Linked DNA regions of Arabidopsis thaliana. The protein of the gene in region 1 interacts with the protein of each later gene in a pairwise test. Each region holds a gene or a part of one and is shown on either strand. Other genes may lie near its edges. The genes, in order: HK5 and HP6.

What was found.
Region 2: the proteins of HK5 (region 1) and HP6 interact in a protein complementation assay, tested with the Arabidopsis thaliana proteins (one study listed by BioGRID).

Annotation. Positions count from the first base shown.
Region 1 is NC_003076.8:3,384,103-3,391,382, reverse strand, and holds HK5 (histidine kinase 5), read right to left. Parts: upstream 5,483-7,280; 5' UTR 5,214-5,482; intron 4,657-5,213; 5' UTR 4,549-4,656; coding exon 3,844-4,548; intron 3,767-3,843; coding exon 3,710-3,766; intron 3,618-3,709; coding exon 3,390-3,617; intron 3,308-3,389; coding exon 3,214-3,307; intron 3,133-3,213; coding exon 2,926-3,132; intron 2,825-2,925; coding exon 2,694-2,824; intron 2,617-2,693; coding exon 2,567-2,616; intron 2,494-2,566; coding exon 2,312-2,493; intron 2,216-2,311; coding exon 2,112-2,215; intron 2,030-2,111; coding exon 1,307-2,029; intron 1,219-1,306; coding exon 1,054-1,218; intron 965-1,053; coding exon 842-964; 3' UTR 697-841; downstream 1-696. Other genes in the region: AT5G10730 (NAD(P)-binding Rossmann-fold superfamily protein), read left to right, coding at 89-131, 216-307, 382-561. UniProt on the Arabidopsis thaliana protein: Functions as a histidine kinase and transmits the stress signal to a downstream MAPK cascade.
Region 2 is NC_003070.9:30,131,986-30,135,516, reverse strand, and holds HP6 (histidine phosphotransfer protein 6), read right to left. Parts: upstream 1,800-3,531; 5' UTR 1,700-1,799; coding exon 1,500-1,699; intron 1,388-1,499; coding exon 1,244-1,387; intron 1,123-1,243; coding exon 984-1,122; 3' UTR 913-983; coding exon of another isoform or gene 865-912; 3' UTR 597-864; downstream 1-596. Other genes in the region: PP2-B11 (phloem protein 2-B11), read right to left, coding at 1-51. UniProt on the Arabidopsis thaliana protein: Functions as a two-component phosphorelay mediator between cytokinin sensor histidine kinases and response regulators (B-type ARRs). Plays an important role in propagating cytokinin signal transduction.

The DNA.
Region 1 (7,280 bases):
TGATCATATACTTTTCAAACTACAGCTATTCATAGCCCTTTTTGGTTAGTATAAGCTGGCTTAAGAATTTTTCATTTCATCCTTACAGCGAGCTGCTGAGACCGAGCTGCTCACAAGATTTGCATATGGAGGTATAAGTTTCGTGGTACATCTACAAAACTCTCTCTGAAACTCGTTTGTTTTTTACATTTGAAGTTTTGGTGAATGTTGTGCAGGTATAATCTTGCGACCTGGTTTTATATATGGAACTCGCAGTGTTGGGAGCATGAAGATCCCGTTAGGAGTATTTGGTTCACCCATGGAGATGGTAAGAGATCCTCTCTTTATAGCAATATCCCTCAAGATTACCTCGTTACTCATAATGTTTGTGGCTTTATGTAGGTTCTTCAACAAGCAAAACCTCTGAACCAGCTTCCATTAGTCGGACCTTTGTTCACACCTCCGGTGAATGTTGAATCGGTTGCAAAAGTCGCAGTTAGAGCAGCCACAGATCCAGTGTTCCCTCCCGGGATTGTGGATGTCCATGGAATACAACGTTACAGCCAACAGAAATCGAGATAAGTCCGTTTTGAAAAGCTTAAGTATGCTCAATGTCGTTTTGTAGAGCTTGGCTGCTTTTAGTACTCTGCTGGATTCGAATGGTGGGAACAAAAATGTTTACTTGTTTCTCTCGCCAGAAATTTCCCACAAATAAATAAAGAAGAGAAGCTTTTATTTATTTATTGAACTATACATCTCTAAAAAGAGGAAGCTACTTAGTAGCTCTCCAAAACTTTTTTCCTACACAATTTATATACAACACAACCATTTCTTAATCTACAAAACACAAAAATCTGAAATCTCAGTGCAAATACTGTTGCAAACACTCTCTCAGTTTTTGCAACGTTACAGGTTTCGAAATAAACGAGTCCATACCATTTGCATAACATTCTTCTGAACTCTCTGCTAAAGTATTTGCCGTCATCTGCACATTCCACAACGCATTCTGACTATCAGTTTTCTCAAGTTATGCATTAGATCTCTGTGTTTAGTATTCAAAAAAGAAGTACTGACCGCGATTATAGGCAGCCGGTTTGTGGGACGCATACAAACTTGTTCATTCTCCGATGTCGATATATCTACTCCGGCTTCTATTGCAGCATTCCAGTTCCCAGTTTCTTCATACGAACGGATCAGTCTTGTAGCTTTTAAACCATCGAGCACCGGCATGCACACATCCTGTGAACCCAATATGAATTATAAGCCTTTTTCAAATATAAGTGAATTTGAAAAGGACAAGTCCTTAGAGCTAAGAAAATTTACATACCATGAGTACCAGATCGTAGCTAGAGCTATTAATCGCGGTTATGGCTTCAACTCCATTATTAGCAATATCCATGGTATGGCCTAACTGCTTCATCATCGACTTTGCAACCATGATGTTGATCTTATTATCTTCCACAAGCAAAATCTTTGGCTTTGATGTTTCTTTTACTTCTGTCTCGGCTTTTTCCTCTTCCCTATGAGATGAAACTGTGAGCTCTGACTCCATTTCTAAGGTTCCACCTTCTGAGCTAGCTTGTGAACTGCTACAAGATTCAGATTCCTTAGAGAAACATCGACCATTTCCATTCTCATATTGGTGAGCTGATTCAGGGCAATGACCAGAACTGGTTTCGAGTTTAGATTCATCCATGTAACCACCGTTTTCAAGCTGTAGCATCTCGCTCTGTCCAGTGTTATTAGAGGGATCAGCGACAAAACCATTGATGAGCTTAATAGGACTAGTAAGCATGACTTTATGAGGTAAGAAGTCATTGCTGATCCCCGGTCCGCCATTCGAATATATCGATCCTAAGAGCGGTTTAAACTGGAAATATCCTTCAGCTGTATCGTCTGGTTCAGATTGTTGATCCGCCATATCAGAGAACTCATCTTGATCATCTGAATAATCATCTGATCTTCCAACTTTGTAGGGTAATATAAATGTGAACGTTGAACCTTCGCTCACCCGGCTTGTCACAGTGAGTTGGCCTCCCATTAACTCAACCTGTAAACAAACAGAGAAAGATTAGGATAACGAGCTTCATTAGTTTCTTCTGTAGTGTTGTAAAATCCTAATAATAGCTTACCAGCTGTTTACAAATAGCAAGTCCGAGACCAGTCCCACCGTATTTTCGGGCATGATCAGCGCTTGCTTGCATGTACTTCTTGAACAAACATGGAAGAGCGTTTTCTGCACAAGAACACCAAAACATGAACCAGGTTAATATATAGGTTAGTTGGAGTTTTTTAGTCTTTTCATGTTCATTTGTCAGAATTGCTTGCTTGCCTGGGATTCCAATTCCAGTGTCCCATACGTCACAGCAAATCCAAACTGAAGTCTCGGTCAAACCGTTTTGTTCGTGTTCCTCGGTGTCTGCGTTCAATGCGTTATCCCGCACAAAGGATGGTTCTGATATCACTTGGAGTTTGATTCCTACATTTCCTTCATGTGTAAACTTGATAGCATTGCTGCAAAACGTTTGAACAAATCAGGAACCGAAACTTGTCATTATGCAAATAATACAGGAATCAGGTAAAGAACCTTATCAAATTGGTGAGGATCTGCCTAATCCTTAGAACATCTCCAACTACCTAAACATTTAAAGGAAAAAAAGTTAAGATCACAAAGACTTTTGCCACATTTAACTCTTTCTGAAATGTGTAGTAACCTCAATAGGAACATCATCTGCAATGTTTCCTTCTAATGTCAAAGATTTCTTCAGCGATGCTGCAGCTGTCTGTAGCACATGCTTCACTACTTCTCTTGGTCGAAACTTTGTAGCTTCTAATCTCATCACACCTAAAAAGAACACACAAATACCAAAAAATAACATATGTAATCGAGGATTTGAACAATGACCACACCACAAGATCAAAAACTTTGAAAACAGTATATTGTACCTGATTCAACCTTGGAGAGATCAAGAATGTCGTTGATTAGCTGAAGCACCAAATCACCAGAAGAGATCATGACATTCAACAACTGTCTTTGCTCTTTATCCAGTTTTGTAGTTGAAAGTATCTCAGCCATTCCCACTACTCCTGACAATGGTGACCTTATCTCATGAGACATCGTCGCTAGCATCTGCTTTGCTCTCATTGTCTCCTCTGCAAAAGAAAAAACACAACACCTAAGTCTAGTTTTCTCATTAATCTTTCTAAAACTTTCACTGCTTAACTTGAACAAACCTGTAATGTGAATAGTCTTGTTCAGTTCTGATTCCATCGCCTTTCTCACAGCGTTATCTTCTCTAAGTTTCGCCATTTTCTCCCTTTTCACTACCTGTAACACAGGAAGATCCAGTGAAGATGTGAAAATGAGAACATAGATTATAGAATAGTTCAAAAATCTTTAGCTAACTAACCTGATCAGTTACTTCCATTCCCATGTAGTTTATACCGATTTTCTCGCCAGCTTTGTTGTAAACAGGCTCAACATATATCAAAAACGTCTTTGATCCAAATAAATCTGTAGTAAATGTGATCTCTCTCTTTGAAGCTTTTCCTTTCTCAAGAACTTCTCTCTTGAAATCTTCAGATTCTTTAACTCCACCTCCATGGAATATCTCCACGTCTGTTTTTCCCAAAATGTCCTGAAATATAGTAAGAAACAGATTTTGATTTAAACACATTTCCTCAGAGAATGATTCAATAAATCCAACAGAAGAAAAAGTTTTCTTCTAACCTGTTCCCGTAAACTAGGATACTTGTTGTAGATGAACAAGTAGCGTAAATCTTTATCCTGAAACTCATAAGTAACAAAGAATCAGAAAAGTCGAAAAGATCGAAAACAAGATCAAGAATCACCTTTTACTTTACCTGATGGCCCATAACAATAGGTGCATTCTGAAGTATGAAATGCAAGAAACCTTCAGCTCTCTTAAGATTCTGAGTAAGCTCTTGGACCGGTGCTGACTGACTCTCCATAGTTTTCAAACTCTCACTCAGCTTCTCCATCAATCGCCTTTCTCTCTCAGTACTCGCCTCAAGCATTTTCTCAAGACTCAACGCCTTCTGTTTCCAATATGCAACAGTGTCAAACTCCTCATAGATCTCAATCTTCTTGCTATCGACCAAGGCATCTCGTTTTTTCTGCCTAAACCTGCGGAACAAATCACTCGTCTCATCCAAAACCGGAACATTCTCAGGCTCGTTGCTCTCAAACTTATACTCCTCAATGATCTTCAACTCTTTAGCCTCGGCTTCTTCTCTCTGTCTATCGAGATTTTTTAGCTCTTCTTTTAACAGCCGAACCGCGTTGTCTTGCATATACTCCCATTGTTTCACAAGGTTGGTTAGTTGAGAGGAGCCTTGATGAGTCGAATTCAATAGGTTTGGTAACCGTGTCATATCCGCAATGGTCCGTGTCTCGATAGTAACTTCTTTCAACGTGTCTAAATCTCCGGCAGGTTTCTCGACGTTGAACTGTTTGTCAGCTTCAGTTCCAACATCTTCGGGCCACATCGAAGACAAAACTTCGACATCCATTTCCTCAATCTGATCAGTCTCCATTTCACAGACCATTGATCAAGGTTTCTCTTCATACAACAACAGCAACACAATGGACCAGACAAATCTCAAAATTCAAACAACTTTTTTCTTTAAGCCAGAACCTTGATCTGAATAAAGAACCTGTATAGATATTTTCAAACACAGAGGTTAGAGTCAGGACAAACCATCTCCATCAGAGAATCTTGATCTGTAAAATGTGAAAAATAATGAACTAAAATAGAATTTTGCAAAGGGTCCACAACAACTAAGTGTGTGGACCAATTCTGATTGAACATTAGCGGGAAACTTCAAATTATATGATTCGAGCTTAAAAATCAGAAATTTGCAGAGCTTCAAAAAGAAAACTGTATCAGTTTCTTTTTTCAGATTGAATTATCAACTAGGATCATAAAATTCACCAATAAACGATAAAATCTGAAAATAAATTTAAACGATGAAACTTTTTTTTGAGCGATGATCGGAAAAAATATATGGAAAGAAAAAAATCTTTGGTGATTTATTCTTGACATCAGTGATCATATATTATAAACGAAAATCTTGCATTGAGAAACATAAAGAAATTGTAATCATGAAGTCTCGAGATGCAAAAGGCTGAAACAGAAAGAAATGAAAAAAACGAAAGACAAAGCAGAGGAACGAGTATGCCGGAGGAAAGGGGAAGGGATCAGAAGCTTTACCTTCTCCGACTCCGGTCACCGGAAAAATGAAGAAGAAGAAGGAGAGAAAGAAGGAGTGAGTAGATCTGAAGAAGAGTCGTGGTCGTCGGGAGTAGAGTAAATAAACTTCAAATGAGCATTGGGAAGAGAATAGCCAATGAAGAAAGAGAGAGGAGCATGTGAATGAATTGTGAAAGATTGGTAATTTTTTTTACGGAGAAGAGAAAGAGAGAGAGAGAGAGGACATGTGCTTGCTCATGAGACAGAGAGGTCAATGTATATTATATTCATCTCTTCTCTTCTCTTCTCTTCTCTCTCTTTCTCACATTTTTAAGTTGGACATATTTTAATGGCGACTCTGTCTCTCTGCTCTGTGTGTGCACGTTTGTTTTCTTTCTGAGACCGAATCCGAGTTACTATCGAATGACACACAGATTGACACGTTTCGATCTGTCTCACAATTCACTCTTCTCTCTTTCTCTCTGTTCTTTTTTTTCCTCCAGTTTCTCTGCTTTTCCTTACGTCTTTTATACCTCACAGAGTTGACGACGGAAGCTATAAGGCGGCGCGTTTACGTCACGCTCCGAGTATATTGAGGATAGTCACACTATTTTTTAATTAAGTATTAGCAACTTCCTTTATTGAGGAGTAACTAGAAGTGGCGTCAATAATTGTTATAGATTTGGATTTTAATTTGCTCGACGACGATCACTATTAATTCATGATTTGGCTACTTAATCAGTAAACTGGACAACTCTTTGATTAGTAGATTTATATAAGTGAGTTTTATTCTACGTAATTAGAATGATTTTCCGAAACAGAGCAACTCTGTTTAGCTCATGAATTTTTAAGTTGAATCATATATATAAATTTTTGTGTTGTAAAGTTTTGTAGAATGTTAAGCTTTTGGAAAAATATATTAGATGATTTGATGATCCGATAATGAAAATAACTAAACATAATTATAGTTATTTCTAGTTGTCAATAAGTAACGAATGCATGATTTATTTCTTTTGCCTTTTGTACTACTACTCATTACGAAAAAAGAAGATTTTTTTTTAAAATGTATAATCATGTGGTTCTAATATATAGTCTATAGAATGTCAATGTTGACGAAAGTACACAAATATTCGAATTGGGTCGGGACATTCATTGTTTCATGAATAGCAGAAAGCACATGTAGTACCACAAATAAATGTATCGTAACTAGTAGTATAATATTTGTATTAATCACCCAAATCTTAAACTATATTCTACGCTTCAATTTCAGTTGCAAACTAGTATGATCAATAATTTGAACACCTTGCGCATAAAAAAACACGAGAAAAGCTAATAGAAAAAATGAATAAGACCCAATCCTCACAATTCAATGGAGCGGACAACAACTGTATTGGCACAAAATTAGTTGTCTGAAATCAATCCCATTTCTATATCAATAAATTAAATACTAAAAAATTAGCAACTAGTGGTAATAGTACACACAATAATCAAAACTAATAATAATAAATTAAAGGGTCTTTAAATTAAAATAATTTAAGAAAACAGCTAAGCCATTTTTGGTGTCTTAAGTCCCGATCTGAACGGCGCTCGGAGGCTTTTGTCCCGTCCGTAAGTGGCTAATAGGAAACATGTGATGTGGTTAGTCACATGTTCCACGTCAGCCTCAATGTTACACGTGGAATTACCGTTGACTAACACGTGGTCTAATCATTTTCAAACAAGTTTCTTCTGTTTGTCGTGTTTTTTTTTTTTTGTTGCTCTCGCGCCAAAAATTATGGACGGTGGTGAAGGAGATTAAGGATATTGTTATTTTTTTTTAGTTTTGGACGAAAAGACGAGAATGTGGAGATATTAATTGGATGGGGACACCAATCCTTAAATACCGGATTTGTTTAATTCTCGATTAAAGCAGGACCATACTTTTCAGCTTTCTTCCTAATTATTTACTTAGTACATTATTATATTATATTCATATACATAATACATGTGTGTGCAAAGTTGGGTTTGACATTATGACTACTTTAAGATTATTAGAGAAATTTACCATCTCACGAAAGTTTTACCTCCTTGGACTAACCCATCATGGAT
Region 2 (3,531 bases), on another chromosome or scaffold:
AGTTGTCAAGGAAAGGATCTTGGCGATGCAATCTTCTGGGAGATTATTCATTGCTTCCTCCGATTGATTGCTTATTTGCTTGATTGATTATTTTGGGGTTTAAAAGATCTTTTCCTCTTTCTCGATTATATAGATACGACTTGTTCGATCGAGCAAAGTATCGCTCACATTTAATGAGTTTTATACTAGTAAAAAAAAGAGAGACGTGGAAGTCGTGCATTGATTAGTTAAGTAAAAACGGATACTTAGGGATGAAGCCACACGTGTCTATTCCTTACTCGTTTTTTTCAGATTACTTTCCTCATGACTGACTACTAGAGTAAGCAACACCCACCTGTCCCCTTCTCTTTACTAATTTTATCCAGAAAATCAGTTTTTTTTTTTTTGGGACAATCCAGAAAATCAGTTAATGGTTACATTCGAGACACATTTATGATTCTAAGATTTTGAAAATAAACACAGAATATTTTTTCGGCTTTATATTCTATCATTTTCCAATTCTTTTTGCTCAGAAATCGTTATCTTTGCTAAAATGAAAAAAACAAAAACAAAACTAAATCATTTATTTGAGATGAACGGGCCGTACATTGGGCCTACTTTCTTCCGTTTCTGTCGGTCATTTTATAGCCCAGTTTCTTTTTTCTGTTTTTTTGGGTACTAAATGTTTTATGTTCATGTAAAGATACTTTTGACATGGGTAAATCTCACTTGAAAATACAAAAGGTAATGTATCTCGAATTTATGGAGAGATTAACAACAAAACATCATTAGAAGAAACTAAAGGGTTTCGCTTCGGTAGCTTATAACACACTATCATCACACACTAATTAGGTTTTCTCTGATTTTTATGACAAAATTCTAATTTTACATTGGATATCTGACTCCTGCAGCTAATATTCTCTGCTGCTCCAGCTGCAACCACTCAAAATATTAAATCCCACATAATTGTTAACATATATTACTATCAATATATATGTGTATATTTAGCTCACGTTTTTGCCTTCTGTTTGTGTGAATGTGAGTAATATATTAACAAAACAAGTAAGTACCTGGAAGAGTTCATGCATCATGTTCTTGAGGTAATGATACTCATGCTCTACTACCTCCAGTCCTCTCAAGCACCTGAAGCATCGTCACATTTATGAAGCATTATATTGACTTAAATATTGACCTATATATTAATACAAAGAAGTATATATATATATATATATATATATATATATATAGCTCGTTTAATTTGTACCCTGGGCGGTTGCTAAGCTCGGAAGCAGAACGAAAGGCAACGCAGACGTTACGAACCCTACGAGCACCAATGCTTGAACTGCTTCCCACCAGCTGATTCAGGTGTAATCCTATTTTCTTATAGTCCGAGAATTCTCTATCCATCCTGTTCATTTATTTATTTACATTCGTCATCATTCATAACATATATATACGTATACATTTTGGAACCAAACAACATACAACTATGGAACACATTAACAAAGGAAGAAACTCACAACAATAATCTAAGGTTGCGGAGTAACTTCTCGGATTCATCAAAGTAGATATTAATGACATCATACACAAAGTTTGGTGAAGTCTCATCTTGAAGCTGCTGAAGCTGCAAGAACTGCTCGTCCAGCACTCCCTGGTGGAAAAGAGAGGCTAGGAGCCGGTTGATGTCGGCTTGAAGCCGGTCCACACCCAACCCCAACATCCACAACGGCACACCCGTCTTGTCCCGTTTTCCGCTTCAATCTTTCCTCTTTCTATATATTTGTTTTTACTAATGTGAACAGGTCTTGCTTCAAATTCTAGCTAGAGAAGGCTTATAATTCGATTTTGGGTTTGTTGAGAGGTATTTATAATTGTATAGACATGACTACATGAGATGAGGTGACCCACAATTGTATTCAAATTTTCTAAGAGTCAGGTTACCTTTTTCCCCCACTTTTAAGTGAAAGAATCGAGGAGGGTGTGGGGAATAAACGGGACCGTCACAGGAAAAAGCACTCTACAAGTATTGTACGACCATATTAATACACTCTGTGACCGGCTACAGCCGCCAGCCGGTTACCCCGCGTGACTCTGCCAATAGCGGCGTTCTTCCTCCCGACAACCGGCGTACCCTGTCAGACCAGCTGGTCACCCTTCCCGCAGCCTCTACATTTACATATTTAACTTAATACATCTGCCTTAAATTAAATCAACAACTTTTACACCAATAATATGTACTTTCTATCTTTAATTTCTCACTGTTGAAATTAATCTCTTTTCTTTTATCAGGTCTGATTAAGATGATTATTTGGTCTGTCAAGTTATAATCATATAACAGTAATGTACATTAGATTATCTCATAATTAATCCACTCTTGATTTAACACAAGAATTGTTTTTTTTTTTTTTTTTTTTAAATGTGAGCATGCATTAGTTTCTGAGACTGTAAAAGAAAAGCCCACACTTTGTTGCTCCCTCGTATGACGCGCGACTTTCCCACTAACTTTGCAGTGAGTGTTCGCTATTCTCTATGCTTCAAATTCAATCCATCCTTTCTCCATTTCTATCTCAAAAGGCCTTTCTCTTTCTCGATCTAATCAATTAATCTTCTTCTTTTTCTTTCTTATAAGGAAAGCTATACACAAGAAGAATACAAGAAACACAAGCACAACACAGAAACATGCGTAAATTGTTTCACCGAATAAAGTAAAAAATTATCAATAGTTAAACACAAAAGATTACAAGTCCTCTTAACTATTTTTAACAGAAAATGTATGTACCAACACCTCTGGTTACGTGATTTTCTCATAACTTTGGTGATTGGTATATTGGTATCACATCGCTATATATGAACCATGACAGTACATAAATAAATAATCATATGGCACGTATAAGAAGCCTCTAATAATCTTCCTTAATTAGTCTCCTGGAACCAGAAAGTATACATAATTATAAAAAGCAGCGGTAACTAACGAAGATTTATAATATTTGAACACAAAAAAGCGTGCTCATATGTAATTATTGTGAGCTAGTATAGAATGATATATGAAAATAGCTAAATATTATTGTAAATGCGGATTAAAAATGACTGAAAAGAAGAAAGAGCGTGCTTGGAAACGGAACAAACAACTAGCTAGTATTAAACATATACTTTTTCATGTTATCAGAGTAAGTAGTAAAGTGGAGCGCATAATGAGTGGATGCTTTTTTAAGGTTATGTTACCAATTAAAACTAGTGATTAAATTATGATTATGGAATTATTATATACGAAAACTGAAATTGTCTCATTCGTATGTCATGCTTCTTTGCGCCCCGTGCTCGAGTACCCTATTCATTAATCACTACCCTCTCAGTATTTCATAATTTCTATGATTGCTTTGTTTTCTTTTATTATCCATGTACAATATTTTTTCCTTAATGGGATTATTCCATGTGCAATTTTGTTAACATGTTTATTTGTGTTTATAAGATATTCTTTTGGTAGAAATTCGTCATTCCTTTGCTTTGACATTTTTTCTATTTATATCATTTCCCTATATTTTTCTTATGTGT